2 linked regions of the Drosophila melanogaster genome follow. The gene in region 2 interacts genetically with the main gene of each other region. Each region holds a gene or a part of one and is shown on either strand. Other genes may lie near its edges.

The links. Genes that interact genetically often act in the same process or in processes that back each other up.
Region 1: of upd3 (region 2) and Xbp1, changing one suppresses a phenotype caused by changing the other (phenotypic suppression), as found in Drosophila melanogaster (one study listed by BioGRID).

Annotation. Positions count from the first base shown.
Region 1 is NT_033778.4:21,141,948-21,146,298, forward strand, and holds Xbp1 (X box binding protein-1), read left to right. Parts: upstream 1-1,601; 5' UTR 1,602-1,929; coding exon 1,930-2,189; intron 2,190-2,253; coding exon 2,254-2,917; coding exon of another isoform or gene 2,918-3,513; 3' UTR 3,514-3,803; downstream 3,804-4,351. Other genes in the region: CG9406 (uncharacterized protein), read left to right, coding at 528-540, 599-836, 889-1,099, 1,152-1,250.
Region 2 is NC_004354.4:18,275,686-18,283,280, reverse strand, and holds the start of upd3 (unpaired 3), read right to left. Parts: upstream 6,049-7,595; 5' UTR 5,679-6,048; coding exon 5,676-5,678; intron 3,848-5,675; coding exon 3,398-3,847; intron 3,296-3,397; coding exon 3,098-3,295; intron 1-3,097.

The sequences.
Region 1 (4,351 bases), on a different chromosome or scaffold from region 2:
GAATATCGAAAACAAATGAAAACTGAGGTGGCGCGTTGAGTTGAGTTGGAAAACCTGTTGCTGCCAAACGACGCACACAGATGCAAATGCTCAGCGACAACAAGCAAATGCAGTCTATTTCGTCCTTTAAAAGGCACTGGAAAGTCTCGAACTTCACTGTTTGGGTAACATGAAATCTTTAGCTAAACGATTGTCTCAACTTTAATTGCAAATTAATGGGAAACAAATTAAAAACACGAAACGAAAAACAAAACAGAAAACAAAATAACGCGACGCTCAACACGACTGCTTCGCAGGCAGTTATCGACTGATGCTTATCGGTCGATATTCACCACACCTAGTATGACCACAGGGGCGATACCCTTTGCTTGGCGCCATTATCGATTTCCGATCGTTATTTTCAAATTCGAAATATAAACAGCAAACCTTTAATAATGCTTCAATCAGAAAACATATAAATCAGGAAAAAATAAATCGTATTTTAAAATTATCAGTTTATTTATTAAATTCTAAAGTATATACCCGCGATGGAAGTTGGTGGTAGGCATTACATAAAATGAGCATCGCACCTCCGCTTGATATCACTAACCTTTTGTAGTTACCCTAAACAACGAACTCGAGGAAAAGATTTCGGAAGCATTTTGCATATTTGATACTCATGGCGATAAGTATATTGATTCCCGCAATGTCGGCAACGTGCTCCGATTTTTAGGTTGCGCGCCCACCGAAAAAGAGGTCGAAGATGTCATTAAAGCCACCGATTCCGTCGACTATCCAGGCGAAGCCCATTTGGTGAAGTTCATGGAACACGTTTCCAAACTGCTGATGGATCGACAGTTATTCAATATACTTTAGGTTTGTTTAGCAACTAACGATATTTGTCCACAGAATGGAACCAGCCTCGTCGGAAAAGCTTCTCGAGGCCTTTGAGACCCTGGATCCAGAAAATAAAAAATATCTGACCAAGGAGTACTTCGGCAAATTAATGGCGGAGGAAGGAGAACCTTTCTCCGCTGAAGAATTGGATGCTATGTGGCCTGTGGCAATTGATCCCATTACTGGACACATTCCCTACACCTTCTACATAAATCAACTCAGGGTAAGATCGCATTTCCCAACTACTTTTGATTGGATTCATCTAAAATTTCCAGCACAAGCCTGATATCTATGAAATTGCCGAGGTTATCAAGGAGGAACTAGCACAAGCCGAAAAAGAAAAGGGCAAGAAACCACAACAACCACTGTTTTAGATGCCCCTTTAATCAAGCAATTGCAAATAACGCGGAAAATAAATTTATACATTTTATAACAAATAATTTCCTTTCTCGTTTTTACTGTTCCACATTGAGATATAGACGGTCACACTGCCATGCGCAATTCGAGATGGCATAGTCGTTGTTCTATGTTTGGATATTAAAATGAATTGTGTGAAAAATTTAAGGAACTATTTTTTGTTTTAAGATATTGCCTGAAATGTTACAATATATTTATTAAATCCAATAAAAAAAAATTTACAATACATTTAAGCGCTTTTACAAATCATCGTTGCTCTAAATTAACTGAATTTGTAATCGATAGCCCGATACGTGCTGCTCCATCCCTCATTACCCCAACTCTTCTAGAAAAACACGTCAGCTTTTCACAGCCATTCGGAAAAGAACACGTCAGCAGAAAGGAAAACTGGTCGGTCGATATTGCAAAGGTGGATGAGAAAATTGCGTGAGACGGAGCCAGAAAAGCCCGAGTCGGCGGCGATGAAGAGATTCAAACCAGCAGAGCGTCCGAGAAGCGCAGTCGAAGTTCATGAGACGACCTAAAACAAGCAAAAGTTAAAATACGCTCTTACAATGCAAATCTAAGTGGAAAGTCGCTTTTCACAATTGCACACAGCACACAGCAGTTTATCATTTAGCCCCGAACCAGTTAAACATGGCACCCACAGCAAACACAGTGCTAATTACCGTGCCGCGGACAGCAATCACATCGAATAATCTGCCCAAATTGCGGCCCGCCCCCCTTACGGCAGCTCTGCTGAAGGTGTCGGCCACGCCCTCCGCCTCGCCCACGCCCTCGAGTTCGGGATACGCATCCTCGTCGAACATGGATGACGATAACATGGCTGCATCCCAGCCCAAGGCCAAGAAGCGTCGCCTGGACCATCTAACCTGGGAGGAGAAAGTGCAAAGAAAGTAAGTCCACCCAACTTTTAACCAAATTTGAGCGCCTTATTTAACTGTTATTATCGAACAACAGGAAGCTAAAGAACCGTGTGGCCGCCCAGACATCGCGTGACCGCAAGAAGGCACGCATGGAGGAGATGGACTACGAGATCAAGGAGCTGACAGACAGAACGGAAATACTACAGAACAAGTGCGATAGCCTGCAGGCCATCAACGAGTCACTGCTGGCCAAGAACCACAAGCTGGACTCGGAGCTGGAGCTGCTGCGCCAAGAACTCGCCGAACTGAAGCAGCAACAGCAGCACAACACCAGATGCATCAGCCAATCCAACGCCAGCGCAGGCGCTGAGGGCTGTGCGTCCACCAACCTTGGATCTGCAGCATCCAAAGCTGACCCTCTGCCGCAGGGTATACAACAGGTGGACACACAGTCGTCAGCGCGTCTGCTGGCGGAGCAGCTGAAGAGCAGCAAGAGCCTGGCCTCACTCTGGAAAGTTGTGGCCCTCTGCCTACTCTACAAGACATGCTTGGCGTCGACGAAGAGTTCGACGTCAAGCGCCTCGAAGAGCTGGCCGAAAGTCTGCTCGCAGATATCACAGCAGACCTGGAAACAGGCGCTGGAGCGAGCAGCCCAGCTGCTGCCCAAGATGCAGGCAACGCAGAGCGATTGCCTGGACCAATGGTGGGGCCCGCAGCAGAGCGCTTGGAATCCGACGGGCATAGAGCTAATGGCCTGAATGTTGAGCAGGAACAGGAAACCGAGCACAAGGTCAGCCTAAATGTGCAGATGTTGAAGATAAATGGAAACCCACAGCATACCACAGCAGCGCCAGCCTCGAGAACAGCCACAATCACAGCGACAGCGGCCGCCTCGCAACTACAGGCCACTCCGGACACAGTGTACGGCACGTATGATGCCAAGACGAACTCGATCACCATCGTGATGGACGGGGATGCGGTGCCGGTGAACGAGGCCGTCGAGGAGATCTACTGTGACGGCGTCAGCGCTGGCGACGACTCAACGGACGTGATCATGAAGTGTCCGCCGCCAGCGACGTCTCCGTCACAGGTCTATCTCAACGTGATGAACGCCGTCGACAATTCGGACGACGAGGAAAGCTTCGATCCGATCGACCGATTCCTACGTCCGCGCGTTAAGGCGATCTCCCCGTTGGCCAAATCCCCCGCATTGTCTCTACACTCGGCCACCTCGGACCATGGATACGAGTCCATACTGGGCTCTCCCACATCCGTGGCTCTCACTCTGCCCGCAGATGAGGACGATTTCCCCTGGGAGAGCAACTTTGACGAGCTGTTTCCCAGTTTGATCTGAGTTTTTCAAGCTGAAAACTTCGTTCTGTCTCTCTTTTATTGTTAAGTTTGGCCGGCCGCCGTTTGTTTAAGTTTTTTAGTTGATAGGCTGTACATAAATTCATAATCGAAGGCTTTATATATGATACTGTAGTTAGAGCGCTAAGTTTAGCTGTAGGTTTCCATTTATATTTAACAATCTCTAACCACATAGGCTTATGATTACTCTTATATGTATGTATTGTGCTCAAAGAATTTGAAAAAAAAACATTTGACTAAAAAATATTCAAAATATAAACCAAACCAAACAACAAGCTCTTTGTTTTTGTTTACTCTAGGCGAAACAGAACTTTGAACTGCGTATGATAAATAGTTAATCACGCCACTTCTCTAGCATCACGCCACTTTTTTATGACGCAATTTCTGCGTAGATGATGGGACAGTTTTAGGTGTAAGCATATGAGTCATTTTGTTTTTATTAACCAAATATATATATATTACAAAAAGTGAGTTGAACTGACTGCAGATAATGCGGATAGGTGAAATAAAACCACAACTATGCTCTGAAATATATGCACCTTATTTATTAGTATATTATTCATTAATAAGACGAAATACAGCTCTGTTTTTCTCCAAACTGAACTAGGATTTAAACAAGATTTTGCTAAGCTCGAAAAATATATTTTTTAAAGAATATAAATAGAGCCACCCTAATGCGCCAGCAAAAGCGAATTTGTTTCGGAACTAGTTCGAAAAAGTTGTTTATAGACTTGAACCAGTTTTTGCTTACGAACCACATACCTGTGATTTTGCAGAAAGATAAACAATTTTTAAATGCAATAGAGTGTACGGTTAAACAG
Region 2 (7,595 bases):
TCTCTGTTGATAAGAATCTATGGATTCATATTTGTACACCCATTTTATATATACTAGTTTTTAGATTAAATTAAGTGCTCTATTTATATCATTAACTGTCCATGAACTTGTAAACTTATATATTCCCAACTTAATCATCATAGTTACCCCAACCCATATTGGAGATCAACTCCATAATCCTTGATTATATCAGCATAGAATTGAAAATAAAACAATTATATGGCAAAGTATGATATTTTTAAGTATTTAACGCCTTAATTACTTGTATCGCCATGAATGAAGGTCGGGGTTATCTTTATTGAATAAACCTTTTTCTGCACTCGCTTGCAATAAAAATCCCCAATTGTAAAATTAAAGTATTAGAAACGGCGAAACCTTGGCGGAAATTGCGATATCCATATCGCATATGGTGTATATAGTCGATCCTATAGTTCGAATTTTTTGGGTTGAGTGAACTGAGCCCACCAGCCCCTTTGCGGACCCCCCCCCCCCCCCCCTCCCATCGCACACACACTCCCCTCATCCCAACGACCAGAAACTTATCTGGCCGGCGGCTGAAAGTGAAAATCAAGCCGAACGCTCGCGCCGCTCTCTCGTAACTGTTTTTTGAGTTCTCGGCTACGCTTCGGCTGGCCGCTCGTGACGTCGACGTTGGCTCTTCGTTTCATTCATGTCGCGCTCGCCGCATGCCGCCGCTCACCCTTTCCCGCTCCCGCTCCCGCTCCCGCTCGCTCTCGCTGGAGTTTCGGGGGAATCCACGGCTCTGTTTCATATGAATCACATATCGCGTATACGCTCCGCGCCCCGTATCCCCCCGATCAACGACCACAAACGGCGTGTGTGTGTCATTTGCAATAAACGAGCGTTGTGAACTACTCAAACATATTATCGTTAAGGTCATTTCTTCTTCCGAACCGATCCGCTGCGGTATCAGCGAATTCGTTGTTTTCCTTTTTTTTTTTGGGTGGGTATGAGCGAATGCATGACGTCAAAAGGCCGTCGATTCTCGGTATCGAAACGATCCATCTAAATATAGAGTTCTTCTATCAGTCCCGTTTGCCACCTCGTCGTCGGATCGGGTTCCGATCTGGGGGTTCCGTTTCACTCTGTTCCGGGGATGTCAACAATTAGTTGGCACAATTGGCATTGACGTAGCCGATATTGGCCAAATATTGACACACATCCCGAGCGGCAAGTTCCCGAGCTTGGTGCAGAGTGAGAAAAGGTGGATCGACTGGTCGAATCGAGTAGTGTGTGATCAAAGGTATCTACTGAAAAACTCAACACGAAAGAGTACTTATAAGCAGCGAAGGCAGTCAATTGTTACCCTCATTTTCTCACAGTGTGATCCGCGAGGCCCAGGTACTTTTCCCAGACTATGACGACAATTGAGAAATTTCAGCGAAAGCCAAACTTTGCTCATCGCCCTGAATAGACGATTGAGTGGAATCGCTGGCTAAGTGAATGAATGGATGAAATGGAATGGCAACTATGATGGGACTGGCTAAGTTTAGCAGAACGGGTAATTAAAAAAAAAAATAAAAACCAAATTCCCAGGGGGTGGCGACCTTTGAGACTCCACTTGCACTCTGAACGCGACTTTTGGCTGACTCGAAGTGAGTCGGCGGTTTTCGCGGATCTTGACCACACTTGAGATTTTTCGCCGCACCTGCGATCTCATAAAAGTATCTGTTTATGGCCACGCCAAGTGAACTACACTCATCTGGTTATCTGCAGATATTACTGTCCTATACGAAACTTTCCCGGACACCAAGGAATTAGCACGTTGGGGCAACCAAGCCGATCTCGACCGATTCACGAAGCGACATCCACCTCATTGAAATGTGGACTAGACCCTTTCTAGTGCACGGCGTTTGTCATACTTGGTCACGTATCGACTGGTACTCCGTGGCAATCATTTCGCAAGTACCGCCATCCACATTCCGGAGCCCACATTCTATATTACTTCCATTACTTCCATTATTCACTGGCCTATCGGTCACTCCGGGTTTTTCCTCAACTGGTCTTGCTCATTTCACCGTGTCAGTGCGAAAATATTTCCGAATTCCCAGACCCCGACAATTTGGCATTACTAAACGGTTCCACTCTATTAACATCAAACTGTCCGCAACTCGAGGGTCTCGAAATTGAAAAGCTCCATAATTTTCCTCTCGCCATAATTCAGATGTCCGTGGCGAATCCAATTCGAAATTTGATTAGCTTCTGTTTGTTGTTGTTTACTTGTCAAAAGTGTAAATAAAATGTGCCGCTTGATTTTATTTTGTTTATTCAACAAATTATCCACTTCAGATACGAATTGAGATTCGGATTGAACTTCGTTTTCAGATTCAGATACAGCTTCAGCTTCAGCTTCAGCCTCAATTCGGATCGATCCAATCTACGGATTGGCCATAAAACGTGATCGCTGGATCAAGGCCGGTTTGGGGGGGATCGCGATGGATCTATATAAACAATAATCGAAAAAAAAAGCGCGCGCGCCGTCAATTTGCTCTTAATCTTAATGTGGTTATGGCATCGATTGCTAATGTTTTCCCTCGTGCTGTTGTTGTTTGCTACCAATGCAAATCGACGGTTAATGGGGCGTCCCGAAATGCCGGCTAATGCTGACAAAACGAACGAGGTGCGATCGAAAAGTTGGCGGCACTTAAGTGCTCAATGCAAGTTGCTGTTGGAAGTGTTGTCAAAACAACTCCATCATCAAGCTAGCACATATGAACTATATACATATCTCAATCTTTATTTCCTTAGTTTCCTTCATACCCCTCTATATAGATTGATAAATTCCCTTAATCACGCAAACAAACTATGGCAACAACTCTCGCGGCTGGCGGCACGATTCCCTCGGATTCGGACTCATATGACCGCTCCACTCGCCATTAGCTTGTGACGGCCTGTTTGCACCTACGCAGGTGAACGGGGCGAACGCCTCACGTGACCCTCTTTTTTATCACCTCAAGCTCCCTGGCAACAGAAGAACCCCCCGCGAGTGTTTGATGTTTGTAAATGATCCAGTAGTTCTTCACATGACGATATATGCATACATATATTATGCTTATGGCATATGGACGACACTCACCTGTTTGCTAGTGAGATTCAGACGGGGCAGGAATCTGTAGTTTCCCTTATAGAATCGCCACTTGTTCTTCTCGACAATGTCCAGAGTCTTGGTGCTCACTGTGGCCAGCTTGTCCGCATTGGTGGTGATCCTGGCCTTGTCCTCGGCCTGGATGCCCCGCAGCTCGCGGCCCGTTTGGTTCTGTAGATTCTGCAGGATCTGAAATAGATACAAATACATATATACATATAGATAATAGTGTGTGAATTAGTTGTGCCAATTTATTTATCAGCTAAGAGCCAACTTTCGCTTGAAACTTACCCTTTGGCGTTTCTTGCAGCGTTTCGCCTTGCTGTGCGTTTCGTTCAGACCCGTGGGCTTCAGATTGCAGGTGTTCTCCCAGTCCAGATGCGTACTGCTGGCATTCAATTTCTGCTGGAAGGTCAGCCGGAAGTTGGCCGCTCTGGAACGCTTCTGTAGGTGCTTCAGGGGATTGGTGGGATTGATGGGACTGGAGGGGCTGTCAGTGGGCGGGGTGGCCAGGTGACTGGGCGCCGCTGAGACGCCACAACCGCCGCCGGAGAGGGCAAACTGGGACATGGCCAAGGCGAGTAAGATCAGTGACCAGTTCCTGTTCAGGCGTCGTCGTCGATCCACGAACGGCGGTTGCGGCTGCGGTTCCACTGGATTCCTGGTTCTGGCCGTTTTGTTACCGCTCCGGCTACCGCTTCCGCTGCTCCTGCTGACGTCGAGCGGGCGGTCAGCTGTCGTCTGTGGATGGAAAAAGTTCCGAAATAAGCTAAACAAAATTTATACAAACACGCAAAGCCCTCAAGATAACACAGTTTCATTTTTTTCCCACCCATAATGGCTCGAGTTTCACTACGACTTCTTGACGTCACATCTTCGTCAGACGTCGTCGGTGTTTAGCATGAGAAAAGTCTAGCAACAGGTTATACTATTATTAGTTACCAAAAAAAAAAAAAAAAAAAAAAAATCAAATACGTATGTTCGATTTTCAGTTATTTACATACTCAAACTTTGGCCGAAAAGAGGGTTCGGTTGGCCAAATGTATTCCCCCTGCCGAGGGACCAATTACCATAAGTCAAGACTAACGGACGCTGCGCGGACAACTGAACTGAACCGACTGGTTATATATTATCTTGGCCAACTTTTGCCAAATATAAACCAAAATTCGCGCACGTGATGGTACGGATGTGTGATTGTGGTGCGATTGTTTTGTGTTATTTTGTGTGTGTTAGTGCCTGAGTGGGCGAATTATGATGATTGTTGGCTGCTTGGGGATTCCCGCTGGACGCACTTATGCGCAAACCCATACGCACACATATAAATATAATCGCAATTGTTTGGGGGGCCCGAAGCATGCGCGATTTGTTATTATTATCGTTTGCGCTTTAGCTACAGCTACGGCCATTGCTAGTGCCGTCTTTATCTGGCTGAAATAATTATTTCAAATTAAAAATAAATTTCTTTATTTAGCCAAATTATCATGAATCATCGTGTGTCGGGTGGAGGTCGACTTGCAAAGGTAGTGGTGATAGTGGTGCCACCGCACTGGCGGTGGCGGTGCTATCTCATATTGTCTGGTGGGGTAGGCTCCAATCGCTCCACACGCCTCCTACACATCGAGCAGCATGGTCAACGAAACATTGGTCTTGCAAACTTTTGTGAAATTCACTCTCTCTTGCCGTGCGTTTTCGCTCTCCGGCTCTTTATCGCGGTCCCTTTGCCCGGACCTTGTCCTCCTGTCTGTGCCGAATCGCTAACGCTTGTAGTGACAACCGCTGACGCATCCAATCTTCAATTCCTGCCAAACACCAGCAACACCAGCACCACCAGCACCACCAGCACCACCAGCACCACCAGCACCACCAGCACCACTGGCACCACCACCCCCGCGGCACGAAACGTGTAAATTAATTTCACATGTTTCGCTCTTTTTTTGGCCATTTTTCGTCAAAAGGGTTTTTTTTTACAGTTGCAATAACTATTAAGTTAGTTGCATAAGTTGTGTGGTTGAATGGAACAATAAGTTCCCAATAAGTTAGAATAGTAATAGCAAATAAATGCAAGTCGCCCCTGTACGATTAGTCATACTCATCCGAAAATAACGTCCATAGGTTTTCAAATAACTTTGGGTTTTTCATAATTGTAATAACTTTAAAATGCTATGATTCACATGTGGAAAAATGAACTTAACATATTGTGCATCATGAATTTATAACTTGTTTTCAATGCCTATCACCAAACAGTGTCAGTGATTCACGAATGAGTTTCCCCCATGAGAGGCTGGAGATGATGGTCCCTTTCGGTTGTGAGCCCTATCCCCATCTCCAATCCCTAAACCCATCACACCTCCTCCTTGGGGCCAATTTCATCATGTGTGGGGTACGTGACACCTCACCTGACCATTGCAGCTCTTGGCAAGAACTCTGCGGGTTCAGAAGTATCGAGCGAAAGACACCTGTACCTATCAACAAACCGAGCACGCACAGGTGAATTCTCTTATCGGCAGCAGAAAAGGCAAATATAAAATCCCCGAAAAAATACGCGCCTGCGGTAGTTACTTGTACTTACCATTTACATAAAAATCGTTGGCTGGGAATTCCGCACAAAAATTCGTACTTGATTGACACGCACTTTGCTTTTGTAACGCTGTTAGTCTTTTCTTTGTGTGTATTTGCCGGAAAGAAGCTTCCAGAATGCAACGGGGAAAAAAACGAAAAAAAAAACTAACCAATAATAAAAGCGATCGCGATTTGGCGAATTTGGCGAATCAGGCGAATCAGGCGACTTTGTCGAATTTGTTGAATTTGTTGAATTTGGCTGCGTATCTTTGTATCTTTATATCGCGGCTGGACGAACTATCGCGTTAAGTGTCGACGCGCTGCCTTCGACTGTCTGCTATGATTTGATTCCGATTCGATCGAAGTCGAAGTCAACAGCGCTGTCGATTTCTTGCCGCTGGAGAGCGTGGAGTGGAGTGTTGTGGAGTGGATTGGAGTGGCTTTCTCGCCGTCTTTGCGTTGTTTTTTTGTACAATTTTTGCAGTAGCGTTTCTTCACTTTTTTTTCGCCTTTTCGCGTGCAGTGGTTATGTGTGTATATATATTTAGTTTTTTGTTTTTGTGGCCGGCGGAGACTGACTGAACTCCTCAGTTACTATGAGCATACTAATGAGGAGGCGGACGCCCAGTCCGCCGGTCATGTTCGCTCCGCTCGAATCGCCAAAGAAGCGGAAGAGAGACAGGGAGAGGCTCTCTCGGCTGTCATGAGTGTGCAATCGCAAGAAAAGCGCTCAAAACATTCGCCGAGTGCCAAAAACAACGCGAGAAAGCCATAAAAAAGCACAGCTGAGCGATAAAAAAAAACAAAAACGACTCATAGCGGCTGGGTGTGGACAATGGGTTACCCTGTACCCAGGGTACTAGCAACTAGGAGCAATAAGATACGCTGAAGAAAGCATGGAAAAAAGCAGAAGAAAAGTATAACTTTAACTAACTTTAGTTAACTTTAATAATACTAAATATGAGAGATAACATCTAAACTAGGCAACAACAAGTACAATCATCCAATAGCTATTCGATTGAGACCAATATTTGGTTAGTGAACTAGTAACAAATGTCATAAATATTCTATATTACGGCCATTCCGAACATAATAGATTTATTACCAATATTACCCAGTCGTAATGGGCGTGAAAAATACAAACGTTTAGTGAATGATTAGGCCAGCTAGATTTCAACACGATGAGAAATACTCACAGCTCTCCAGCGCTCCCCTTTGGGGGATGACACATAATCGGCGCACTGGAGTGGAGTGATTGATCGATTCGTCGACTGGGCCGATCTCCACCAGATAAGGTCGCTGGGAGAGCTATTCACTGTCTCTCCCGCTCGCAGATAAACAAAACATGTGTAATTTGCCTATTTGCCGGTCTCTGGGGAACGAAATGAGCGGCTACTTGGCTCTTATCGAATGACTTTCACTCGGCACACACTTCCGATTCACCGTTTCTCCGGATCTCCCGTTCTCCGATTTCGATTCCGAGACGATCGTTTCCGATCCGAAGCGAAACGATCCATTCCGTTCCGTTTTGTTCCGTTCCGAAGTAACCCCCGCAAATAGTCGGCAATTTATGGGGGTTGGCATGAATTTCAGTTATTTCCGTTCAATTTCACAAGAATATTACTCATACGCTCCGTCGGCCGCCGACAGCCGTCAATGACGACACGATTTGTTCAACCGCGAGCCGGGCTCTCACGCTCGCAGACACGGCGATTCATTCATGATTGCCGACTACGCTCCACCGGTCGACAGAATGCGGATGCCGAGAGGGGGTAGGCGCAACTGCGGGGTGGCGGTCTAAATTTCACCGCGCGCCAAAACCATGATCAATCGAAAAGTAATTGAGCACTCATCGTTACTCATGGCCAAAGTGGCGACGTCTCCGTTTTGTCGTTTACCGTTTACGGTTCACGCTTTGCCGCGTACCATG